Linked DNA regions of Sus scrofa. The protein of the gene in region 3 purifies or fractionates together with the protein of the main gene of each other region. This does not show direct contact. Links are inferred from orthologs where the notes say so. Each region holds a gene or a part of one and is shown on either strand. Other genes may lie near its edges.

What was found.
Region 1: the proteins of NKAP (region 3) and RNPS1 purify together in Homo sapiens (co-immunoprecipitation; 3 studies listed by BioGRID and IntAct, counting the BioPlex papers as one, with this or other methods). This does not show direct contact. The link is inferred for Sus scrofa from reciprocal best matches to the Homo sapiens genes NKAP and RNPS1.
Region 2: the proteins of NKAP (region 3) and CSNK2A2 purify together in Homo sapiens (affinity purification with mass spectrometry; 5 studies listed by BioGRID and IntAct, counting the BioPlex papers as one, with this or other methods). This does not show direct contact. The link is inferred for Sus scrofa from reciprocal best matches to the Homo sapiens genes NKAP and CSNK2A2.

What each region holds. Positions count from the first base shown.
Region 1 is NC_010445.4:39,734,984-39,743,229, forward strand, and holds the start of RNPS1 (RNA-binding protein with serine-rich domain 1), read left to right. Parts: upstream 1-4,074; 5' UTR 4,075-4,382; coding exon of another isoform or gene 4,383-4,384; 5' UTR 4,385-4,774; exon of another isoform or gene 4,775-5,212; intron 5,213-7,522; 5' UTR 7,523-7,639; coding exon 7,640-7,710; intron 7,711-7,954; coding exon 7,955-8,110; intron 8,111-8,246. UniProt on the Homo sapiens protein: Part of pre- and post-splicing multiprotein mRNP complexes. Auxiliary component of the splicing-dependent multiprotein exon junction complex (EJC) deposited at splice junction on mRNAs.
Region 2 is NC_010448.4:20,012,344-20,020,386, reverse strand, and holds the start of CSNK2A2 (casein kinase II subunit alpha'), read left to right. Parts: upstream 1-3,662; coding exon 3,663-3,766; intron 3,767-4,552; coding exon 4,553-4,664; intron 4,665-8,043.
Region 3 is NC_010461.5:98,272,077-98,280,241, reverse strand, and holds the start of NKAP (NF-kappa-B-activating protein), read left to right. Parts: upstream 1-3,402; 5' UTR 3,403-3,578; coding exon 3,579-3,964; intron 3,965-7,562; coding exon 7,563-7,643; intron 7,644-8,165. UniProt on the Homo sapiens protein: Acts as a transcriptional repressor. Plays a role as a transcriptional corepressor of the Notch-mediated signaling required for T-cell development. Also involved in the TNF and IL-1 induced NF-kappa-B activation.

The DNA.
Region 1 (8,246 bases), on a different chromosome or scaffold from region 3:
AGCCTGGGCCCAGCTGGGTCCAGAGGGGCTGAGCTGCACCCACCCCTGCATGGAGGAGATGGCCTACAGAGGTTCTGAGAAGCACCCCAACACCAACGTCAGGGTTAGGCTGCTCACCCAACCCTGCGGCTGAGGCCAGCAAGCCGAGGGCACATCATGCCACCCTCCAGACACCAGGCCCCATCCCTGAACCCTACTCAGGTCTGACCCCAAGCCGTGGCGTGTTCGAGCTCCTACAGCCCCTCTCCCTTCCGCAAGGGAGGGCAGGGCTCCCTGAGCGGGGTTCAGGGTAGAGGGGTGCCCAAGAAGGAGAAAGAGCCAGGAGGCAGCCCAGCCCTGGGCCCCGGAGCCTCGTCCCCATCTGACAGGCATGCGGGCCTGGGCTTCAGGCAGGCTGGAGGAGCAGCTGAAGCTGGGGGTCGGGCCCGGGAAGCGGGGGCCCTGCCTTCCTTCCTCAACACACGGGGCTGCCCAGGCCCCGCTCCTGGGGCCTGGCCCATACCCCAGAGATGCCAACTTGGATGCCTCCAAGGTCTGAGAAGCCCCGAATCCACCGGCTGCGGGTGGCCAGAGGGAAGCCAGGGGCCAGCCAGGGGCCAGGGCATCTCGTGCAGGCCTGCGGCACCCCTGCTCCCCTTCTCCGGCCTGGACCCTCCCAGGCTGGGCAACTGAGCTAGCATGATGCTTGACCCCCTTGGGGCAGAAGTAGACCCGGGGTCTCGGGCATGAAAACCAGCACAGGCTCCCAAGCCCACTGCTCACAGCCCCGGCCACACGGCCCCTCCAATAGGCAGCCTGTGCCTCCTGGGGGGACCTCATTGGAAACTGATGCCCCAACACCTTGGGAATGCAGCTCTCCTGGAGCCCGGAAGGCCTCCCCACAACTCCAGACCCTCATTGGCTGGCTGGCCTGCTCAGACTGGCCAGCACCTCTTCCTGGGCTCCTTCAGGGCTGCAGGCGTTCGCCCCCACAGACAGGAGCCAGGTTACCTGCTCCTCTAATGCCTCCCTCGGGGTCACCAAGCCGTCCCCATCTCCCTGACCCCACCCGAATCTCTTTCTTCCACTGAGCTGGGCCGTGCCCGCCCTTAGCACAGAGCCTGTCAGCAACGGATAGAAGTGCTTCCTGGAGTTCCCATTGTGGCTCAGTGGTTAACGAACCCGACTAGGAACCATGAGGTTGCGGGTTCAATCCCTGGCCTTGCTCAGTGGGTTAAGGATCTGGCACTGCCGTGAGCTGTGGTATAGGTCGCAGACGCGGCTCAGATCCCGAGTTGCTGTGGCTCTGGCATAGGCCGGTGGCTACAGCTCCGATTAGACCCCTAGCCTGGGAACCCCCATATGCCACGAATGTGGCCCTGGAAAAGCTAAAAAGAGAAAAAAAAAAAAAAAGAAGTGCTTCCTTGACATTTTGTACAAGGAGATGTGATGCCTGCTCAAAGCTCCCGTGTGGCCCACCGTGACCTCCTACACAACCCAGGCCATCCCTGACCCTTTCAGTGTGCAGGGTACCAACCTCCAAGGGCAGGCACCGCAGAGGCCATCAGGCCCATAGCGGATAAAGCAGGGGGACATTCAGCCTTGAGGCGAGTAGGCTCTCAACGTGCGGCAGCCCCTCATGGGAAGCAGGTGGCCCTCGGCCCTGTGGGAAAAGGAAGTGGGCTCGGGACACGGGCCAGAGCCCACAGGATGCCCGTGGTGCGGAGCCCCAGGCCTGGGGCTAGCTGCCCAATGCCCTGTCCACGGGAGTCCGCCCCCCACTTCCCTCGCACCTGAGCCAGAGACCCCCAGAGGCCCCCAATCCCTATGGCCTCAGCAGGTTGCCACTGGGGGCCGGGAGGGGAGAGGCCCAGGCCTCCTGGAAGGCTGGGGTCTGGGGACCACTGGAGTTTTATTTTCTCATGTTCCTTCCAAACATGTTCCGCTGCTTCTCAAAGTGGCAAAAGCCCAGATGCTTAGATTTCAAAGCTCAACAGCTGATGATAAAATCAACAATATTCAGAACCAAATTTGATTAAATTCCTAAGTGTCTGACTAAATCATGCTTTTAGATTTAATATAAAATGTGTTGAAAGTTATATGCATGCCAAATTCTATGACTTCGGAGCATGAACAACAGAAAACCCAGAAGGGGCTGTCAGCCCAGCTGCCTGTGCCTCCTCCATGCGCCTCGGTGGGACCACAGGGCCTGCCTCATCCCCACCTAGGTTGTCACCACCTCCCTGGACAACGGCTCTGGATTCAAGGCCTTTCAGGTACACATCGACTTGGCCCAGGATGTGTGGGACTCTGACCCGCTGCCATGGGCTCCTCATTGACTCCCCGCACGGCAGGCAGGGCCCAGCAAGACCACGACATCCCCAACACCGACCCCCTGGGCCCCTTAACTGCTTGTTGCAGGGCCAGGGCTGCGGCTCTGTTACAATTATACCACCACCTGGCCTGGCCAATGTGACCATGATGCCGAGGTCATATACCTTCTCTAAATGGCCCCCACTCCCCAAATCTAAATCCAGAGGGAGAACCACAACCCGGACTGACTCCGCCTGCCAAGCCCCCTCCCAGGAGTGTGCAGAGGCCTCAGCAGAGAGGCCTCCAAAGGGAGGCTGCCCCTGCCTGTCTTTTGTCCCCGACTCCTCAGACACCCCTCAACCCAGGATGAGGTATCAAAGGCACCGTCCAGGTGCCCATCTCTGGCCCATCTCCGCACCACAGTGGTTCCTTTCCCCGGAACACACCCTGGATCTGCTCTCTTCTCTTCCCTGCTGAGTCTACCTGTTCCACCTGTTCTGAGACAGGGGTGCACCTTCCTCCCCTCCTTCCAATAAGGAAGGAAGCAGGTACACAGCAGTCAACAAACCCTGCAAGCCCTGGCCCTCTCAGAGCCGGGTTTTACTCCAACAGCCTCCTGCCTGGTCCTGGGCCTCTAAACCTCACCCTCTTGCCGTTGCCAGGAGGCTCTGGCAATGCCTCCCCGCCTGCGCCGTCCACCAGCCCCGGGATGAAGCCTTGGCGCCTTATCTTGCACACCTTCCAAGTTCCCCCCAAATGCTAAACTCCACCTTCCTAGCCCCGGCTTCTGCCAGCAAGCCTCTGCGCCTTTGCACCTGCTCTTCTCTCGGCTGAGGGCACCCTTCCACTTGGGTCTCAGCTGCAGTGTCACCTCCGCAGAGGCGCCTTGACTTCTGCACCTAGTCTTCTCTTTTTATTTTATTTTATTTTATTTTTTGTCTTTTTGCCATTTCTTGGGTCTCTCTCGCTGCATATGTTGGTTCCCAGGCTAGAGGTAGCCGCCGGCCTACGCCAGAGCCACTGCAATGCAGGATCCGACCTGCGCCTGCGACCTACACCACAGCTCACGGCAACACCGGATCCTTAACCCACTGAGCAAGGTCAGGGATCGAACCCACAACCTCATGCTTCCTAGTCAGATTGGTTAACCACTGAGCCACAATGGGAACTCCTTCTTTTTTAAATTTTTAATGTATTTATTTATTGTCTTTTTAGGGCCGCATGTGCGGTATTTGGAGGTTCCCAGGTCAGGGAGCGAATCGGAGCTGCAGCTGCCAGCCTACGACACAGCCACAGCAACACCAGATCCCAGCCGCGTCTGCGACCTTACATCACAGCTCATAGGCAACGCCGGATCCTTAATCCACTAATTAAGGCCAGGGATCTAACCGGCGTCCTTATGGACTGTAGTCAGACTTGTTTCCCCTGAACCACGACGGGGACTCCTGCACCTCGTCTTCTACCCTGTCTTTTGCTGCCCGTCCTTTCTGACGGCACTACCCCGTCTTACCCACCCGGCCGAGTTCCGCTGGAGTAAAAGCTGCGTCTGCCTGGCCACTCCCTGAGAGGCTTCTAACCGCACGAACCCTCTGCCCGGCCGGTCCCCACGGCGGTCGGCTAGAGGCCGCGGCACCTGCGCACTCCTCCCCCAACCCCGCCGCCCGAAACTCCGGGTCTCAGGCCCAGCGCCCACGGACCGCACCAAGCCCGCGGCGAGCCTAGGACGCAGGCGCACGGAGAGGGGCAGGGCCGCCTTAACCCGCCCCGCGCCGGCCCGCGAGCTACCACGCAGCACGGCCCTCCCAGCCCCAGCAAGCTGCCAGTTTGCCCGCCCTATGCGCCGCGCAGCCAGCCCCTGGCGGCCCAAGACGCCCCTCCCGAGAGGGGAACCAAAGTACGCGCTCCAACGCGGGGTGCTACACACGACCTTGGCTCTTTAACATTCTCCTTGCTCGCGCTCATTGGCTGAGGCGCTCTACGTCATCGCTGCGCGCCGGACGACGGCGCCTTCCCGCTCCCTAATCCTGACGCCAGAGCGGCGCCGGCCTCGGCGGCTGAGGAAAGCGGGAGGAGGTCTCGGCGGCGGGAAGATGTAAGTTGCGGGAATCCGACCCCATCCGAGCTTCGGGGGCCGCTCGCCAAGGTCGGCGGGGTGCATCGTGAAGCCGGCCCTCTCCCCGGCCCCGCGGTGGCAACGGCGGCCTAGCGGCGCGGTGTAGTTCTTAAGAAGAAAGAGTGGCCAGAGGAGAGCTGAGTAGGAGGCGCCGAGGCCGCGGCCCGGAAGTGGTCGGGGCTGCGGCGGGCGGAAGGGCGCCCTCGCTTCGTCTTCTCTGCGGCGGGCCCAGGGAGGCCCGCGGAATTCGGAGCAGCCGGGAACTCGGCCTCCACCCTCAGGGTCCTCTCGCCGGGCAGGAGACCCAGGCCCGCAACGTCAGGCCCTGCCCTGGAAGCTCTCGCGGCCCGGCGCCTGGAGTGGGGAGTTGTGAGTCTACGCGGACAGGGGGCGGCGAGGTCGCGTTGGGCCCGGGGCCGGTGGGTGCAGAGTTGCTTTGTGGGGTGCCCTGGGTGACCGTCTGACCTTCCTTTTGAAGATCTTGCTTTAAACATGGAATCCACGAACATTTGTCGGACTCCTGTGTGCCGTTCTCGGTGCCCATCTTTGGGGATATGGCCCTTAATGCCTTGGAGCTCTGTTTCCCGGCTTGCCCCAGGAGGGAGGGTACGGGAAGGTTAAATATCAGTGGAGAAGAGATGTGGCTTTTTGCCTTTGTAATTTCGCATGAATATGCCTAAAACGTACTGTTCAGCGGGGAAGGGGCTCTGAAGATACGACCTGAAACGGTAGCTACTCGAGATTTAACTAGTTGTTCTCTCCTCTCTCTGGCTGTTGGACTGCGCAACTTTCCGGAGGATGGGGGAGGTAACCAGAGTCCTGTGCTGTTACCTGAACTTGTGTAAACAGAGAACGTCAACCATTGCTTTCTACCACCTAGGCCTCGCCCAGCGAAGCGTTTACGTACTCTGTGGTTCTTAACTTTCCAGAGTTTTAAGAATAACTTGCTAGATTTTTATTTACAAAGTACATTAGGGCAGATCTTTAGGCCTGGGGTGGGGCCCAGCAATCTGCACTCTGTCATCTGTTCAGTAAGGTTGGTTCAGTAATTGGCCACGTGTGGATATTAGGCACTTGAAACATACCCAGCCCAAAGGGGGGTGTTTAAAAGACTTGGTATGGGGAGGCGTAGATATTTTGTTAACACACTTGGATACTGATTGGTGAAAAGATAATATTTGGGGTATAGGGTGTCAGATAAATACATTACTAAAAGTTAACTACATCTGTTTCTTTTGTACTTTTTGCAAACGTGCCTGTTAGCAAAATGTTAGGGTACTCTTTCTGTTGGACCAGACTGCTCTTGGTGATCCTCTCTTGAGCATTCAGAGGTTGTGTGCGACTTTTATTTAGAGTCAGGAGTTTTTATGGGGAAAGAGCCTCCAGCGCCTTTCTTCTGAAATTAGCTGAGGTTTATTGAGCCTTAAGTAGGTGCCAAGTTTCTTTTATGGGTCAGTTTGATTTATGTCTTTGATAACTATGAGGCGTAGACTGATGAAAAATTGAGGCTAGAAAGGTTAGGTGATTTATCCAAGGTCACACAACAAAGCTCTGAACGAAAGCCGAGCAGGCTGACTCCACACTCTTAACCATTGAGTTAGACTCAATGAGTGTCTGAGGACTGACTTATCCCAGCTTGCCTGGTCCACATCTCCTGTACCGTATTATTTTAAGACTGAGCATTTTAAAAGACTGTAGCCCTGGAAAAGAGCAACAAAGGTGATGTTCTCTTTTGTATTCTCTTTGATTGTCCAAAGCTGGACACTCTTGAGTCAGTGATTATCCAACATTTTGGCACCACTGCAGACTTAGGAACAGGCTCCAAATTAGTCGGCTGTGTCCGTCCAGGTGACTTACAGGCTGTCGGGGAAGGTGAGGTGGAAGTAGTAGAAGCTAACATCCTAAGATCTCTGCTTAGAACTCAAGCAAATCCTACAAAACTTGACTGGAACCACAAAAGGCAACAGTCCCCAGGAAACGGGACCCACAATGAACTGGTAGTTGGTTCTTGAACGGTATTTACTAATGATCATTTACTGAGTACATACTGCAGTCCAGGCCTTTTGCTGAACCATCACTTACAATAACTGCGTCAATTCCAGTGTCTGCTTGTTTCCCTCCAATTTTATTTTTGAAAAAATGTGAACACACAGAAAAGTTGGGAAACTTTTGTACAGTAAATAGCCACATAACCGGGGCCACCTAGAGTCTACAATTTACATCTTTGCTGTATTTGCTTTATGTCATCCATCTTATTTTGTCTCGGGTATACCTCTCCATAACATTTCCATGTGCATATGCATCTTTAATATTTGCAACGACTGCTTTTTAATGTATTGTTCTCATGCTTTTTAACTGTTCAGAGGGGACATTTCACTTGTTCGCACTGAGTATTAAATGTTGGGGGTGGTTGTTGCTGGTTTGTTTGGGGGGATTTTTTTGTGGTTTTTTTTGTTTGTTTGTTTGTTTGTTTTTTAGGGCAGCACTTGGGGCATATGAAAGTTCCCTGGCTAGGGCCCGGATCGGAGCTGCAGCTACCAGCTGACTCGAGGCAACGCCAGATCCTTAACCCACTGAGCGAGGCTAGGGATTGAACCCGCAACCTCACAGTTCCTAGTTGGATTCGTTAACCACTGAGCCACGACAGGAACTCCCAGTATTAAATGTTTTGATGTTGGTACTTTTGAAAGGGCTTTTGTTTCCAGTCATATCATACACACTGTATTTTACAAAGGTCATAGCAATGAGACGAGATCTACTCCTGTCAGTGGATTTTCTCTGTTCTGCATGCAAATGTGATGCTGTGGTATTTTAAAGGACTGTAGGGCTCGACAGCAAACTTGTGAAAGAAAAACGGGTATTGTACCACCTGTGAAATAACAGGACACCACCACCGTGTCCTTGAGAAACCACAAGCTGAGGTTCCACCAGTGCCTCCTGCGGGAGTGGGACCCTCCCCAAGGAAATGGTGCCCGGCCATCCCAGAGGTGTTGTTCCTGGCTCTGTAGATGCTTGCTGCTTACTGTGTTCCTTGCTGCCTTCTGCTGTGCCTGGCTTTTGACCGCCAAGTCGATTTGTTGCCAATTAACCCTGTAAATCCTTTTGTCTTGTTATTAGGCTGCACTTTGGCGTAAATTGCAATCGATTAGGGATCGTTTCTCAGACTCAAGTTAGAAGTGAGAGTTCAGATAAGTGAGGCCGCCATTGCTGCTTTGAACACCTCAGAAGGGGAGAATGGATTTATCAGGAGTGAAAAAGAAGAGCTTGCTAGGAGTCAAAGAAAATAATAAAAAGTCCAGCACTAGGTAATCCTTCCTTCTGTCAGATTTTTCTAGTGCTACTTTGGGGGTACTCGTTGCTAGGGACCGTGAGAAAGGGGGAACTTGGAAATGTCTTGCATTTTACATGCAAGTGTCCTAAGCCACAGATCATTGTGCTCTGTGATTGCCTGGGATTTCTGTAGCCCTTTGGATCCCCTTTCGGGTGGTGCTGTTGCTTCAGGGTCCAGTCACCAGGGCCTGCAGTCTCACGCTCTTCCTCACCGTCCAGGGCTCCTTCTCCTACCAAACGCAAAGACCGCTCTGAGGAAAAGTCCAAGGACCGCTCTAAAGATAAAGGGGCCACCAAGGAGTCGAGCGAGAAGGACCGTGGCAGGGATAAAACTCGGAAGAGGCGCAGCGCTTCCAGTGGTAGCAGCAGCACCAGGTGGGGCTGGTGGGTTAGAGCACTGCCAGGGCCTCGCTTCCGCAGCCGTGTCTCTCTTCCTGCCCAAAGAGCCCAGAGGGCACTCTTGTCTCTTTCTCTCTTTTTTTTTTTTTTCCTTAAAGTCTAGTTGATTTAC
Region 2 (8,043 bases), on a different chromosome or scaffold from region 3:
TGTTGCACCAGAGCGATGTGTGGGTGAATCCTCAGGCATCCCAGCAGGCGTGGGAGCAGGTTACATGAGATGGGTGTGGGTTTGCTAGTGAGGAATGAGAGGAAGGTGCAGGGAGGGTGGGTGGGGTCAGAGGTGGGCGAGGGTGGAGGTGAGGAATGGGGCCCCAGCTGGGGTTGGACCTAGTAGTTAGACCAGTAGTTTGGAACCATTTTTGGGTCATGGCCTCATTTGGGAATCTGATGAATGCTAAGATTTCCTGCACACGCACACACGCACGCACACACGCACACACGCACACACACACACACACACACCCCAACCCATAAATCTTGCACACAGTGTCAGGAGTTCCATCAACCTAAAAAGCTCATCCAGGGGCTCAGGATTAAAAACCTCCGGTCTAGACTAGTTCACAGGGACTTGTCACAAAGAAATCCAAAGGCTGCATTAAGAATTTGAGAACATTTGTTTTTTTGTGTGTGTGACAGAGATTTGGGGAGTTTTGCAGGTTTGGGAATTAAATTCCAAGGCCCACTTATTCTATAAATGGTTTTTTCTTCCAATTTTTATTTTGAGAAATTTCAAAGTACCAAAAAATTGCAAGCTCACATAGTCTTTAATCACATTCCCCAAGTGTCAACATTTCTCCTGAATCTCTCCCCTCTCCCCGTTCGTGCTTGTGCTCTCAGGAACTTATGTCTCTCTGCAGAACCGTTTGAAAGTTGCAGATATTATGATACTTCATCCCCAAACATTTGGCATGTAATTTCCAAGATCAAGAAAGTTTCTTGCCTAAACACAATATAATCCTCTCACTCATAAAACTGAACATCGATACTTTGATACTTTTATGTATTCAAGTTTCCCAAGTAGCCCCAATACGGTGTCCTTTTATCTGCATTCTTTCTCCTTCCCTTCCTCCCTCTCTCCTTCCTTTCCTTCCTCCCTCTCTCATCGGGGATTGAATCCAGAATTATACACTTTATTTAAAATAGTTACATCTCTCAGTCTCCTTTAATCAAGAGCACTACTCCAGAGGTTTTTTGGGTTTCTTTCTTTTTTTTTTTTAGAGTCCAGGCTAGCTGTTTTGCAGAAAGCTCCCCAGTTTTGATTTGTCTGATTAGATTCAAGTTAAGGTTTGGCGGCAGATGTTGTGTCCTTTCTTGGTGCAGCACATCAGAGGGTCCCTTGGTCCTTTACTGGATGATGTCAAGTGTGATTCAGGATTAGAGTGATGACCTCCAGGTTCCCCTTTGTAATTAACACGTGCTCTGTAGGGTAACACTGTATTCATTGAAAGCCTTGAGCTGTGGCAAGTGCAGGGTGAGCCAGTGGTGAGCACCTACCTAGACTCAGTTTTTGCTCTTATGCTGTTTTTACAGTGGAGGAAATAGACAATAACCTAAGAAACAAATAATTACAAGATATGCAATTTTCTGAAGAATGTGGATGGGTGTTGAGCACTATCAACTCTAATATTTAAAATGAACTTAAAGCACTGGGAACTATATCTAGTCACTTATGATGGAGCTTGATAATTTATGTGTGCCTGGGTTGCTGTACAGTAGAAAATTGACAGAACACTGTAAACCACGTATAATGGAAAAAAAATCATTAAAAAATAATAAAATGGGAGTTCCCGTCGTGGCGCAGTGGTTAACGACTCCAACTAGGAACCATGAGGTTTTAGGTTCGGTCCCTGCCCTTGCTCGGGGGGTTAGGGACCCGGCGTTGCCGTGAGCTGTGGTGTAGGTTGCAGATGTGGCTCGGATCCTGCGTTGCTGTGGCTCTGACGTAGGCCAGCAGATACAGCTCCAATTAGACCCCTAGCCTGGGAACCTCCATATGCCATGCGAGCGGCCCAATAAATGGCAAAAAAAAAATAAATAAATAAATAAAATGAACTTAAAAGTGAGACTTGGAGAGGAAAAAGGAGTCAGGCAGAGAAAAATGGAACTGGAGGGGGTAGAGGTGATGTCGGCCAAACTTGGAGGGTAGAAAAAACTGAAAGACGGGCATCTCAAGGAGAGCAATGTGTAGGGAAAGGCCCTGGTCAGATAATAATCATATTGAGCACTCAGTATCTGCTAGACACTGTTCTAAGTGTTTTTCATGGTTTATTTTGTCTAATCTGCTCCATAGTCGTGTGAGGTAGGTGCCATTACTGCTTTTATTTTGTAAAATCCACAGCATAGAGAGGTTAAGTTATTGGCCCAAGGTAACACAGCTTGTAAGTAGCAGAGCTGGCATTCAAACACGGAAGGATCTAGCTTCAGAGTTTGTTCTCTTAATTGTATCAAGAAGGAGGAAGCAGGGCCTCACCTAGAAAACAGAATATGAAAAAGGATTGGATTCAAAGCAACCCAGGCTGAGTGATTAAAAAATGTGGGATGGAAAAGCAAGACCAAAGAAAGGCCCAGAACATCAAGGAGAGAAGAGTGTTCAGGGCTAGAAGGCAACCTAATAAAATAGGCCAAAGTTTGGTTGGCCACCCCACCCTCAGTCCATACCCAACTCCTAGCCTGTCCCTTCAAGGCAGGACTCTCACAATTCTCCTGCTCTCTGTCCTCCCAAACCAAACCAAGGTATTTCTATGGTCTCAAAGTGTCTCCACACATTTTGCTTATTAATTACAAAGGGAAAAATAGGAACTTTACAGTGAGTAACTTGGCTGACTCCAACTTAACCAAGTGAGGATATGAACATAAAGAGAGTTCTTAGGGAAGGTTCTGGAAGGATATTTTGGGGAAAATGTAAGATAAGGGTTTTGTGGATGAAGAGAGAAGGGGAAGTCTGGAGGTTCAAGAGTCTGTGGGTGGCAGGGGAGAGTCTATCAGGGAAGATGGGCTGTCTCTGGGAGGGGTGGGGAAATCAGGAGTTGGAGAGGTTCTGAGTGAAAAGAGCAAGTTTCATGAGGGAGGGACTTGATGGGAACAGTTTGGGTGACAAAAGTGTCACAGCAGGGTCGGTATGAGAGGTCTGGTGGTGAAACTCTGGATGACGAAAGGGTAGAGAGCTTTGGGGTAGGGGGTCTCTAGGAGAGTCCTGGAAGAGTAGGCGAGGGGGCAAGGCTCTAGGACAGCAGCCTGTGGGCGGGGAGGCCCTGTGATGAGCGCTTTCTGCCAGACCAAGGATGGGTAGATTTGGAAGGGGATCCTGGAGGGGCGGGGTCAGGGGCGGGACCAGGCCGGCGGGCGGGTCCCCCCGCGCTGCAGGGGGCGCTGTGAGGCTGGGCGGCCCCGGGCCGGGCGTCGGCCGCTCCTAGTGAGCGCGGCCCCTTTTCCGGGTTTCCTCCTCCTCCTTCTTCGCCGCCGCTGCCGCTGCCCCTTTCCCGGCCGGCGGCTGCCGCTGCTGGTGCCGCCGACGCCGCCGCCGCCGCCTCGGGGCCGCGAGCCGAGCGGAGGCCGCCGCGGAGCGCGAGCGCCATCCGCCCCGCCGTCCCGCCGGCAGCTCCAGGGCCCGGCCGGCTTGGCCGGCGCCCCCCGCGCCCCCAGCCCGCCCGCCCCCGCGGGCCCGGCCTGGCGCGGCCGCCCGCCGCTGCGCTCCTCCTCCTCCTCCGGCGGCCCGCGGCCCGCCGCCTCCTCCGCCCGCCGCCCCGCGCCCCCCGTCGCGCCGCCGCCGCCGCCCTCGGCGCCCCGCGACGCCCCCCGGTCCCGCCCGCCATGCCGGGCCCGGCCGCGGGCAGCAGGGCCCGGGTCTACGCCGAGGTGAACAGCCTGAGGAGCCGCGAGTACTGGGACTATGAGTCTCACGTCCCGAGCTGGGGGTAAAGCCGCCGCCGCCCCCCGCCGGGCCCTCTCACTCCCACCCCCGCCCGGCCGTCCCCCCACCCCCCGCGCAAACCGCACTTGTCCCCCGCTGTCTATCTCCTCGCCTGCCCCTTTGCTGGGCCTGCGCTTCTCCGGTCTGGGGTGGGAGGTCCACTCCCCCCACCAGTGCCCTCGTCTTCCTCTCCTCCCTTCCGCTTCTCCCTCCCCGTTGTGCGTACCCCTTACCCCAGGGTATACTTCCTTACAAGTGTAGGGGTCCAGGGACCAGAGCCCGGTGGGAGTAAGGGAGCAGCCTTTCCTTTTACGCTTTGGGGTTTCTATTGGGGTGGGAAGTCAGCAGCTGTCCTCTTGAGCTATTAAAATTCTTTGCTTTTCTATTTTTTTGAAATGAGGATGGGTGGGAGGAAATTTTTTAAGGATGTCCAGATTCGCAAGGCAGGCGGTGTCTACCTTCTGGGTGTGCAATAGAAGGCAGGTGCTGGGCGGAGGGGCACCTCTGGGCCTCCGGGATGGATGCTTTGCTCACCTCTAGATTGAGTCAGACCCGTGCCTTCCACCTTATCTCCCCTAAGTTATGAGGGACCAATTAGGTTAGGAACTGCGTCTAGTGCGAGGAGCCAAGTTTATGTTGTGGCTTTCATTTAGGGAATGAGTTGTGGCATGATGTGTAGACACTTCCAAGTGCTTGATTAATGGAAGCGCCTGGATGGGGTGTGTAGTGGGCATAGGCTTGGTTAATCCTAAGTCCTGCCATTTATATTTGTCGCTCTTGGCTTTCACAGTAATCAAGATGATTACCAGCTGGTTCGAAAACTTGGTCGGGGAAAGTATAGTGAAGTATTTGAGGCCATTAACATCACCAACAACGAGAGAGTGGTTGTAAAAATTCTCAAGGTGAGTGTCTTATGAGCGGCGTTAAAGTTTCTTTTTCACAGGTCAGAAGGATATGAACTATTTCAGCCACATTCTCCAATGAGCAGTTTGAGCTCTCATTTTGCATCTGTTCTGTCTGATGTCCCTCTCCTACTCCTCCCACCTCATTTTCCTGTGAACTTTCAAGAAAATCTGCAGAAATAGGCAGACCTGTTTCAACTCTAAGTGTGATGGTTCAGGAACATGCTTGTTCTGAAATGTAATTAAAGGCTTCCAAAGTGAAACTTCCAAAGGGGCTCCATTTATTAGAAAATAAATAGGCATTCAGAAGCAAAAAGAGCCTTTTCATGAAGATCCTATCAACGCAAAGGCTCCTCAAGTACTGTATATGTTATTCCAGAAAGTTGTAAAAAAGTAGCTTCAAGGATGCATTTGAAACCTGAGTGGAGGGAACCACTCCTGTGGAAAAATGACTTGTTTTTTCCTTCTTGGTGTTAAAAGTTTCAGGTAAGATGGATATAGTGAGCCAGTAGTGCCAGGAAGATTCATTGTTGCTTATCAGCTAGTAAACGTGAAGTTGGGTTGTTTTGAATTAAAGCAAAACAACCTGTCTAGTTTATAGAACCCTGAATTTGTTAAAGATACCTTTTGTCATCTCTTGAAGGAAGGCTTGATCTTGATGAACATGAAGAGTTGGCTAAATTCTCTTCTGAGTAACTGGTTGTGTAGCTTTGATAATGTGTCAAAGGCATATAAAAAATAATTCTTAGACTCTTTTCAATGATCATTGCCTGATCATTTAATGTGCGTGCATGTCATTTAGTGAAATCACGAGAAGACCAAAGAGTTGATTAGTAGGAGCATATAAGCACTTTCACATATACAAGAGTTCCAATGTGGCCATTTTGGAGAGGCTCTGCGAACAAGAATGTAGGATTGAAAAGCTGTTTTTGTGCCTTAAGTAAAGTTGGGGCAGCTGTGTCCCGATTTAAAAAGGGAGGTCAGGCTTCGACTATCAGAAAATCACCTTTCAGAAAAGTGATTGACTCTGTTACTGCTACCATTCTAGCCTTGTGATGAAGAGGCAGGTTTGCAGAGAAATAGGCAAGTTATTTGTGCTGTCAGAAACACTGGGGGGGAGATGTGAGGAATTGATACTGAAGATAGGGAGTTTGACTCTCCTCTTCCCTAAATATGAACTGCTCCTACAAAGTCACGTGGTCTTTATTTTTTTTCTTCACAAATATTTAAAGAAATATTCCCATCAGAGAAGTCACCTGGGAAACCATACAGTTTTTTTCTGTTAAACATTAGCATAAATGTTTTTAATAGAGCTACTTAAAATCTCTCTAGGAAATAAGCAAGGCATAAATTGACATTAGGAGTACCCATATCCCACTGTTGTGCAATCAGAAGAATAAACTGCTGACTCTAAAGCAATTCCAGAAAAATGTCTAAACTTTGATGTGATGGTAGCATTTTTAGAGTAAGTATGCAACTTCCTGTGGCGTCTTTTGAAAGGGAACCACATTCAGGTGTGTATATAAGTAATAGTACATTCATTTAGGGAAGTGTCATATTGCCCTTTTGTCATCCTTGTGGAGAACTTCATAGCCTCAGTTGCTGGATAGTTTTCCCCTGCTCTAAAGATTTATAGGATATGTTTAGGGTACCCGATATGGAAACTGAAGGACATTTTTAACCAACCAGAAATTTAGGCACCAAGAAGCATATCTAACGTCACTATGTTGAAATAACCCTTGGCCAGAACTCCTGTTTCCTATTTTTTTCCTCTCTCTTACTGTTTGTTTTAGTGTTAGGTTGTAAGATCTTAACATTGAGCACAGAGTAAGTTCCAGTGTTCTAGAATAAGTCTTGGGAGGCCCCTGTGATGCTCTAGTTAATGAAGTGTTAGTTCTTAGATCTTTTTCACACACGTTCTTTTCAGGGTGCAGCCTGAACCACCTTGTTTCCACTGGTGAAAACTACTCTCAGTCTCCGTTTTTCAAAGCCCTATGACATTTCTGTCCGGATTTGTTCTATCTGAAGGATGGGGTTAGAAATTGCCTAGGATGGGAGTTCCCGCCGTGGCGCAGTGGTTAACAAATCTGACTAGGAACCATGAGGTTGCGGGTTCGGTCCCTGCCCTTGCTCAGTGGGTTAACGATCCGGCGTTGCCGTGAGCTGTGGTGTAGGTTGCAGACGCGGCTCGGATCCCGCGTTGCTGTGGCTCTGGCGTAGGCCGGTGGCTACAGCTCCGATTCAGCCCCTAGCCTGGGAACCTCCATATGCCGTGGGAGCGGCCCAAGAAATAGCAACAACAACAACAACAAAAAAAAAGAAATTGCCTAGGGTACTGTTGGATTTTCTCCTTCTAACCAGCTGAATTAAAAGTAGGTTAAAAGTATTTTATATATATATAAAAGAATAGGGGTACTTCCCGTTGTGGCTTAGTGGGTTAAGAACCCGACACAGTGTCCATGAGGATGCGGGTTTGATCCCTGACCTTAACTCAGTGGGTTAAAAAACCACTGGTGATGCAAGCTGCAGCATAGGCTGCTCGTGTGGCTCTGATTCGACCCCCTAGCCTGGGAACTTGAATATGCTGAGGGTGCAGCCATAAAAAGAAAAAAAAAATTAAAAAAGTAAAAAGAGGAGTTCCTGGTGTGGTTCAGTGGAAACAAACCTGACTAGTATCCATGAGGATGCAGATTCAATCTTGGCCTTACTCAGTAGGTTAAAGATCTGGTATTGCCATGAGGTGCGATGTAGGTCACAGACATGGCTCGGATCTGGTGTTGCCATGGTTGTGGTATAGGCTGGCACCTGCAGCTCTCTTTGACCCCTAGCCTGGGAACTTCCATATGCCACACTTGTGGCCCAAAAAAGCAAAATAAAAAATAAAAAGAATAGGAACTTGGAGTTCCCTGGTTGCTCAATGGGTTAAGGATCTGGCATGGTCACTGCTGTGGCATGGGTTCTATCCCTGACTCAGGAACTTCTGCATGCCTCAAGTGCAGCCAAAAAATAAAAATAAAAAGAATAGGGTCTTTACCCAAAGTTATGTGCCCCTATTCAGAGAAGTCAAAGTTGTGACCAATACCTACTGTGGTATTTGGCCACAGGAAATTATGTCCTTAACAGAGGGCTAGATGCGCATAATTTGGAAGAATCTAGAAAAAGGTTCCTCTTCATATAGGCCTACTGTATTTCAATTGTGGGAAGAAACTTTTTTTTTTTTTTTTTTTTGTCTTTGCCTTTTCTAGGGCTGCAACCTCAGCATATGGAGGTTCACAGGCTGGGGTCTAATCGGAGCTGCAGCTGTTGGCCTACACCAGAGCCACAGCAACACCAGATCTGAGCCGAATCTGCAACATACACCACAGCTGACGGCAATGCT
Region 3 (8,165 bases):
AGAAAGAAAGAAAAAGCAAGGAGCTATCAAGCCACAAAAAGACACGAAGGAACTTTAAATAGACAAGTCAGTCCGATTGCAACTGGCTTAATATTCTGGAAATGGTACAAATGTAGGAACAGTAAATATTTCAGAGGTTGCCAGGAGTTAGGGGGTGGGAGAAAGGGAAGAGGGCAGGACAAGAAGAATGAGCCACAACAGGTCTGATAGGTTACTTAAAATAAGTGTGCAGGGTTTTTTTGGGGGGGCCATGCCCACAGCATGTGGAAGTTCTCATGCCAGGGATGGAACCCACAGTGACCCAAAGGAAAGCAGTGACAATGCCAAATCTTTAACCACTGAGCCACCAGGGAACTCCTGATGGGTTCTTGTTTTTTAAATTTTATTTTTAAATTTTTCATTTTTTGCTTTTTAGGGCCTCACCCACCTCACATGGAAGTTCCCAGGCTAGAGGTCAAATTGGAGCTACTGTTGCTGGCCTACACCACAGCCACAGCAATGAGGGATCTGAGCAGCATCTGCAACTTACTCCACAGCTCACGGCAACGCCAGATCCCGGACCACTGAGCAAGGCCAGAGATTGAACCTGCATCCTCATGAACACTAGTCAGATTCACTTCCACTGCACCACAATAGGAACTCCCTTAATTTTATTTTTATTATTATTATTATTTGCTTTTTTTAGGGCCACACCCGCAGCACATGGAGATTCCCAGGCTGGGGGTCTAATCGGAGCTACATCTGCCGGCTTACACCACAGCCAGAGCAATGCAGGATCTGAGACGCCACTGCAACCGTCACCACAGCCCACGGCAACACCGAATCTTCAACCCACTGAGCAAGGCCAGGGATTGAACCCTCTACCTCATGGTTCCTAGTCGGATTCGTTTCTGCTGCACCACAAAGGGAACTCCATGAACTCCCTTAATTTTAATTTTAATTTTTTATGGCTACACTCAGAACATATGGAAGTTCCTGGGCCAGGAATTGAATCCAGACACAGCTGTGACCTAACCTAAGCTGAAGCTGTGGCAATGCCCAATCCTTTAACCCACTGCGCTGGGCTAGAGAACCAAACCAGGGCCTCCTCAGTGACTAGAGCCACTGCAGTTGGAGTCTTAACCCACTTCGCCACAGTGGGAATTCCCTGATAGGTTGCTTCTTAAGAGGAAAGCCTCAGAGGCCATCTAGTTACTGATAGACTGGATTCAGAATTTCCACAGCGAACTCCCTGTGCCTTCAAAAATTAAGATTGATAGAAAGGAAATTATCAACAAAACGAGAAGACAACCTACCTAATGGAAGAGAACACTTGCAGATGACATGATTGATAAAAAAATATATAAACAGAGCATACGACTCAATATAAAAAAACAAGCAGATTAAAAAATGGGCAGAGGGACAGAACATTGTAAATCAACTATAATAAAAAAATTTTAGGAGTTCCCGTCGTGGCGCAGTGGTTAACGAATCCGACTAGGAACCATGAGGTTGCAGGTTCGGTCCCTGGCCTTGCTCAGCGGGTTAACGATCCGGCGTTGCCGTGAGCTGTGGTGTAGGCTGCAGACGCGGCTCGGATCCTGCGTTGCTGTGGCTCTGGCGTAGGCCGGTGGCTACAGCTCCGATTCGACCCCTAGCCTGGGCACCTCCATATGCCGCGGGAGCGGCCCAAGAAATAGCAACAACAACAACAACAAAAGACAAAAAGACAAAAGACAAAATAAATAAATAAATAAATAAATTTTAGGAGTTCCCGTCATGGCGCAGCGGAAATGAATCCAACTAGGAAACATGAGGTTGCGGGTTTGATCCCTGGCCTCGCTCAGTGGGTTAAGGGATCCGGCATTGCCGTGAGCTGTGGTGTAGGTCACAGATGCGGCTCAGATTTGGTGTTGCTGTGGCTCTGGCGTAGGCTGGCAGCAACAGCTCCGGTTAGACCCCTAGCCTGGGAACCTTCATATGTCACCGGTGCGGACCTAAAAGGACAAAAGACAAAAAATAAAAACAGTATAAAATGAATAGAAACAATGACCAGTAACCATGTATTGTTGAGCTATCATATGGAGACGGAAGAAAAAGGCACAACCTAAAAGCTGCCAGTTATGTTTCATTCAGGGACTTTACTGAGGACTATAGCCCGGACACAGCCTCTTAGGTTGCTCAGAGGAACTGTTCCAAAGACGTAAGGGAGGAGCCAGGATATATAGGAGTTTTGCTGAAAAAAAAAAAAAAGTAGTTTGGCATCAAAAGATTATTGCTAATCACAAAAAAAGTTATCTGAAGTTAATGATGTTAGGGCTTTTCTCTGTATGGGAAGATGCCAGAGTCTGTGCTCATTGATATTAATCCTTAGGGAGGGAGTGGGATGGACTAGGAATTTGGGGCTAGCAGATGCAAACTATATAGCATTTGGAGTGGATAAGTAATAAGATCCTGCTGTATAGCCCAGGGAACTCTATCACTGTGATGGAACATGATGGAGGATAATGTGAGAAAAAGAATGTAAATATATGTATAACTGGGTCACTTTACTGTACAACAGAAATTGGCAGAACATTGTAAATGAATTATATTTTTAAATAAAAAAGAAAGTATCCCTTAGATATGCATCTTAACTATTTAGTCCCAGTATCCTGGTTTTTTTTTTTTTTTTTTCAACATCCTGGATTCCCTTCAGGGGCAGGGAGGGGTCCAGACTGCAGCGGCTGATGACTTGATGGTGGGGAACATTGGTTGTTTACTGAAATGGTAGCCCAACATTTTTTTGTCCTCATATTTGATGGGACCAGTTTAAGGAGCTAGGCAAGGAGAGGGTTATTAATTCCTTTTGCTGGAGCACATTGGTGGTGATGGATGGCTGGGGGATAAATACTGTGCTGCGAACCTAATTAGAATGTATGAAGATCCCACGTTGCCTGCAGCTGTGGCGTAGGTCGAAACTGAAGCGCAGGTTCGATCCCTGGCCCAGGAACTTCCACATGCCACGGGGGCTGGGGGGCGGGGTGCAGCAAAAAAAAAAAAAAGTATCGGGCTCAAATCATTAATACATATTTTGTTCCCTCTAAGCTAACTAGGTAATACGGGGCTTAGGCACTATACTCTCCACCAGTTTAGATGAATTCTATGCGCGCACACACACACACACACACACACACACACACATTCCACATACACATATTTATTTATTTACACCGGATTTACTGTTCACACGGCCGCTCAGTGACATGTGTCCTTCGACCTGTCGTCCGTCCCTTCAGGTATTTCAACTGGAGGCTGAACTTAGTACCAAGTCTCCAGTAGGCTTAGATTTAAGCAGCCCCACTAGGAACCAGAAGGATGAACCTATGGAGTTGCTCCACCGGCTTCTTTATATAGACACACACATCGCCGTCCCATCGGTAACAGGCCTGCCTCGGTCCGGGGACGGAATTTGCCGACGTACCCGGAACTGTTTCCAAGGTTTCCTCAGGTTCGGGTGGTGGCGCGGCCGCGGGTCCTGGGAGCCAAGGCAACCAAGATCTTCCCCGGCTCGCGAGAGCGCCCCCTTCTCCCACGGCTTCGGGGAACCAGTGGCAGCGATGGCTCCGGTGTCTGGCTCCCGCAGCCCAGAGTGGGAGGCCTCAGGTTCCGGGGGGAAGCGTCGCAGTTCGTCGAAGAGCCCTAAGCCTTGCAGCAAATCCTCTCGCTCCCCGCGGGGCCGCCGCTCTCGCTCGCACTCTTGCTCTCGGTCCGGGGACCGGAATGGCCTTAGCCATCAGTCGAGTGGCCCCAGCCAAGGCTCCAGAAACCAGTCCTACAGATCCCGTTCTCGGTCACGCTCTCGAGAGCGGCCCTCGGCTCCGCGGGGCGCCCCTTTCGCTTCTGCCTCGTCCGCCTATTATGGCGGCTACTCACGCCCCTACGGCAGTGACAAGCCATGGCCTAGCCTCCTGGACAAGGAGAGGGAGGAGAGCCTGCGGCAGAAGTGAGTGAAACGAACGCACCTTTTCTTTCCCGAGCCCACCAGCCTTCAGAGTCGGATTTATCGTTCATTCCGCTCCCGACTATTCCCATCTTGCTCGCTCTCCCTGGCTTGCGCCCATTTTCATCTCTTCCTTCAGTCGACCCATGATAACGCCTAATCCCCCCTTTTCTGCCCTTAGGTTTTCACTTATCCTCAGACCCCTTCACTTAGTGCCCTGGTCTCCTGCTACCCTCTTTTTGCCTCCTGGCTTGTAGCGGATATAGCCAAGAGCTTCAGACCTACCGGAATTGTAGCATTTTCTTGGTGGTATTGTTATCGTTCTTGAGCATGTTTTCATTCCCCACTAGACTGAAAGGAGGAGCACGGTTTTATTGATCACAAAATTCACAGTGCCTAGCACTTTATAGGCGCGCAATCATCGCTTGTTGAATGGTCAGACAGGTTTGAGATGATAACAGGATTAGTGAGTGGAATTGTTTTCTAGCGATTTGGGAAGGGTTGAGATGAAAGGTTTAAATTGGACGGGAGGAAAATCTCCGAAACAAGATGATTGAATAAATGTAGGAAAAGTGATCTGCTAAACTGTAGATTGGGCTACATTGAGAAAGGTCTTGTTAAGTGGTCTCAATCTTGACCATGAAAAATGAGGTCAGGGTGAGATCAGATCTCCTCTAATGAGAGTGAATACTGGAGTGGAAAAATGAATAGTTTAAGAAGGAGAAATGAAAAGATTTATAATTATTACTTTGTAATTTTTAAAAATTTTTACTTTTTAAAATTTGAAGTATAGTCGATATGCAGTGTTATATGTTACAGGTGTACAGTATAGTAATTCACAATTTTAATTTGTTAATTTTTTAAATTTACTTCATTTATAGTTATTATATGCTTTGTAAGTTTGTTTTTTGTTTGCTTTTTAGGGCCGCATCTGTGGCATAAGGAAGTTCCCAGGCTAGGGGTAGAATCAGAGCTATAGCTGCTGACCTATGTCACAGCAACACAGGATCTGAGCCGTGTCTGTGACCTACACCATAGCTCATGGCAATGCCAGATCCTGAACCCACTAAGCAAGGCCAGGGATAGAACCCACATCCTCATAGATACGAGTCCGATTCATTTCCACTGTGCCACGATGGGAACTCCCTGTAAGTCTTAATATCTAATGCTTGTTGAGTGTTAAATTGTGTGTCAGGCACTGTGCTGAGAACTTTACCATGCTATATGTGTTAAATTTTTTTTTAGGTATAACAGGCATTGAGGGGCAGGTTAAGGTTCTAACAGGTGGGAGGTGTCATCATGAATCTTTTTCTTCCAGGAGTGGGAGGTAGTAAAGCATAGTGATGAAGAGGACAGGCTCCAGAATCAGACTGCTTGAGTTTGAAGCTGTCCTTTGCTACTTAATAGTTGTGTAACCTTGGGCAAGTTACTTAACCTCTCTGAGTTTCATATCTTCACCATTTTTTTTTTCATCTTTTGTCTTTTTTTTAGGGCCGCAGCTGCATCATATGGAGGTTCCCAGGCTAGGGATCTAATTGGAGCTGTTGCTGCTGGCCTATGCCAGAGCCGAAACAATGCCATATCTGAGCTGTGTCTTCAACCTTCACCATAGCTCACAGCAATGCCACATCCTTAACCCACTGAGCAATGCTAGGGATCGAACCCGCAACCTCATGATCCCTAGTCGGATTCGTTTCCACTGCACCAGGATGGGAACTCCTATCTTCACCATTTAAAAGGGAATAAAATTAGCACAAAAGCTTTTGGAGTTATGATAATTTAGTGCCTGGGACATAATAAATAGTCCTTAAGTGTTAGCTATTAGGGTTTTGTGCATGGGAATAAAAACAGTAAAAACAGTCCTGAGCTATGTTGGAGACCAACCTCCACAAATTAAAATTTTTAGAAAGTTTGCGTTGATCAGAAAGTGTACAGCTTCCTTATTAGATATTACTCATCAACAGATGTCAGAATTTCTTGGATGAAATTTGCATCTGTACATTTAGAAGATAAATAGTTACAGAGTACAGGTGAAGTCTGGTGGCAGCAGGGAAGCGAACTTGACTGCTTGCTCTTTACAACCAGTCCAGGATTGTTCCTCCTGTATGTATATATATGAAGTTTGGCTGTAAGTATATCTCCTTTTAGATTTTCTATTAAACCTGGGATCAAACCTGAGTCACAGCAGTGACAACACTGACTCCTGGGCCACCAGGAAACTGCAGGTTTTTTTGTTTTTTATTTTTTAATTTTTTTAAAATTTTATTTTTGTTACTATTTTTTTGCTTTTTAGGGCTACACCTGCGGCATATGGAGGTTCCCAGGTGAGGGGTTGAATAGGAGTTGTAGCTGCCGGCCTACACCACAGCCACAGCAACACAGGATCCGAGTCATGTCTGCATCCTACACCACAGCTCATAGCAACACCAGATCCTTAACCCATTAAGCAGGGCCAGGGATCAAACCCGAGTCCTCATGGATACTAGGCGGATTTGTTAATTGCTGAGCCACGACGGGAACTCCTGTTTTTAATTTTTTTAATTTTTGTTTATTTATTTAGTTTTTCTTTTTAAGGCTGCACCTGCAGCATATGGAGTTCCCAGGCTAGGGGTCGAATCAGAGCTGTAGCCTCTGGCCCATGCCAGAGCCACAGCAACACCAGATCCGAGCTGTGTCAGCGACCTACACCACAGCTCACAGCAACGCCAGATCCTTAACCCACCAAGCGAGGCCAGGGATCGAACCCACAACCTCATTGTTCCTAGTCGAATTCATTTCCTCTGCGCCACAACATTAACTCCTAATGCTTCATTTTTTATTTTCTTCATTGATTGCTGAGTTTCTGAAAGCAGGTTTGACCATATCAAAGTAGAGACTTCTCTTTACTTTCGTTAATATGCATAAACCAAGGAAATGATTTCCAAATGTGAGACTGTTTCTGGGACATATTGCAGAAGATGAAATGAGCAGTTAGGGGCTATGTCATGTGAGCAGTGAAAGGGTTGCACTTGACAGCTTCCCAGGCTGCATTTGTGGCCCAGCCTGTCTGGCCGTCTGTAGTCTGTACCATTTGATGGTTCTATTAGAACATCAGATCCTAAGTGTTGAGTATACCAAATTTTTATTAAAGTTTATTTTATTTTTTATTTTTTTAAGAAGGTCTGTGTGTGTGTGTGTGTGTGTGTGGTGTGTGTGTGTGTGTATGCATAGCTAGACCTGTCTTTTTTTTTTTTTTTTTTTTTGTCGTTTCTAGGGCTGCTCCCACGGCATATGGAGGTTCCCAGGCTAGGGGTCGAATCGGAGCTGTAGCCGCCGGCCTACGCCAGAGCCACAGCAACTCGGGATCCGAGCCGCATCTGCAACCTACACCACAGCTCACGGCAACGCCAGATCCTTAACCCACTGAGCAAGGGCAGGGACTGAACCCGCAACTTCATGGTTCCTAGTCGGATTCGTTAACCACTGAGCCACGACGGGAACTCCTATTAAAGTTTAAAGTGTAAAGAGAAAATAGGTTTTAACTGGACTCCTTTGAATTTTATTATGTATTTAGGAAACAGTTTAGCCATGGAGTTATAATTTACTTTCCTGTCTGTTCTAGGAGATTAAGTGAGAGAGAGAGGATTGGAGAACTTGGAGCTCCTGAAGTATGGGGACTTTCTCCAAAGAATCCAGAACCAGAGTAAGTGATTTTAAAATATATTTTTAAAATGTAATATTTGTTTAAATCTAGAATATATTGTCAAAATTTTTAAGTGCAGAACTTAAGTACAGGTCACTTTCCCCCCTCTTTCTTGTGATTTATGCTATTCTACGTCTTAAGTTTTATTTATTTATTTATTTATTTATTTATTTATTTTGCCTCTTCTAGGGCCGCTCCCTCAGCATATGGAGGTTACCAGGCTAGGGGTCTAATCGGAGCTGTAGCCTCCAGCCTATGCCAGAGCCACAGCATGGTTCCTAGTCGTTTCCGCTGCGCCATGACGGGAACTCCCTCTACTTCTTAAATTTTAAAACCATTGAATATACCTAAGGAATAAAACATATACCTAGTGGATTTTAGCATTTTAATTGTTCTCTTTAGATTGTTATTCATGGGGTGCTAATTTCCTATTTATAGAAGGGTTTAATGTTGAAACAAGTATGTGTGTGTGTGTGGTGTGTGTGTGTGTGTGTGTGTGTGAGTGTATTTTTTTTTTTCCCT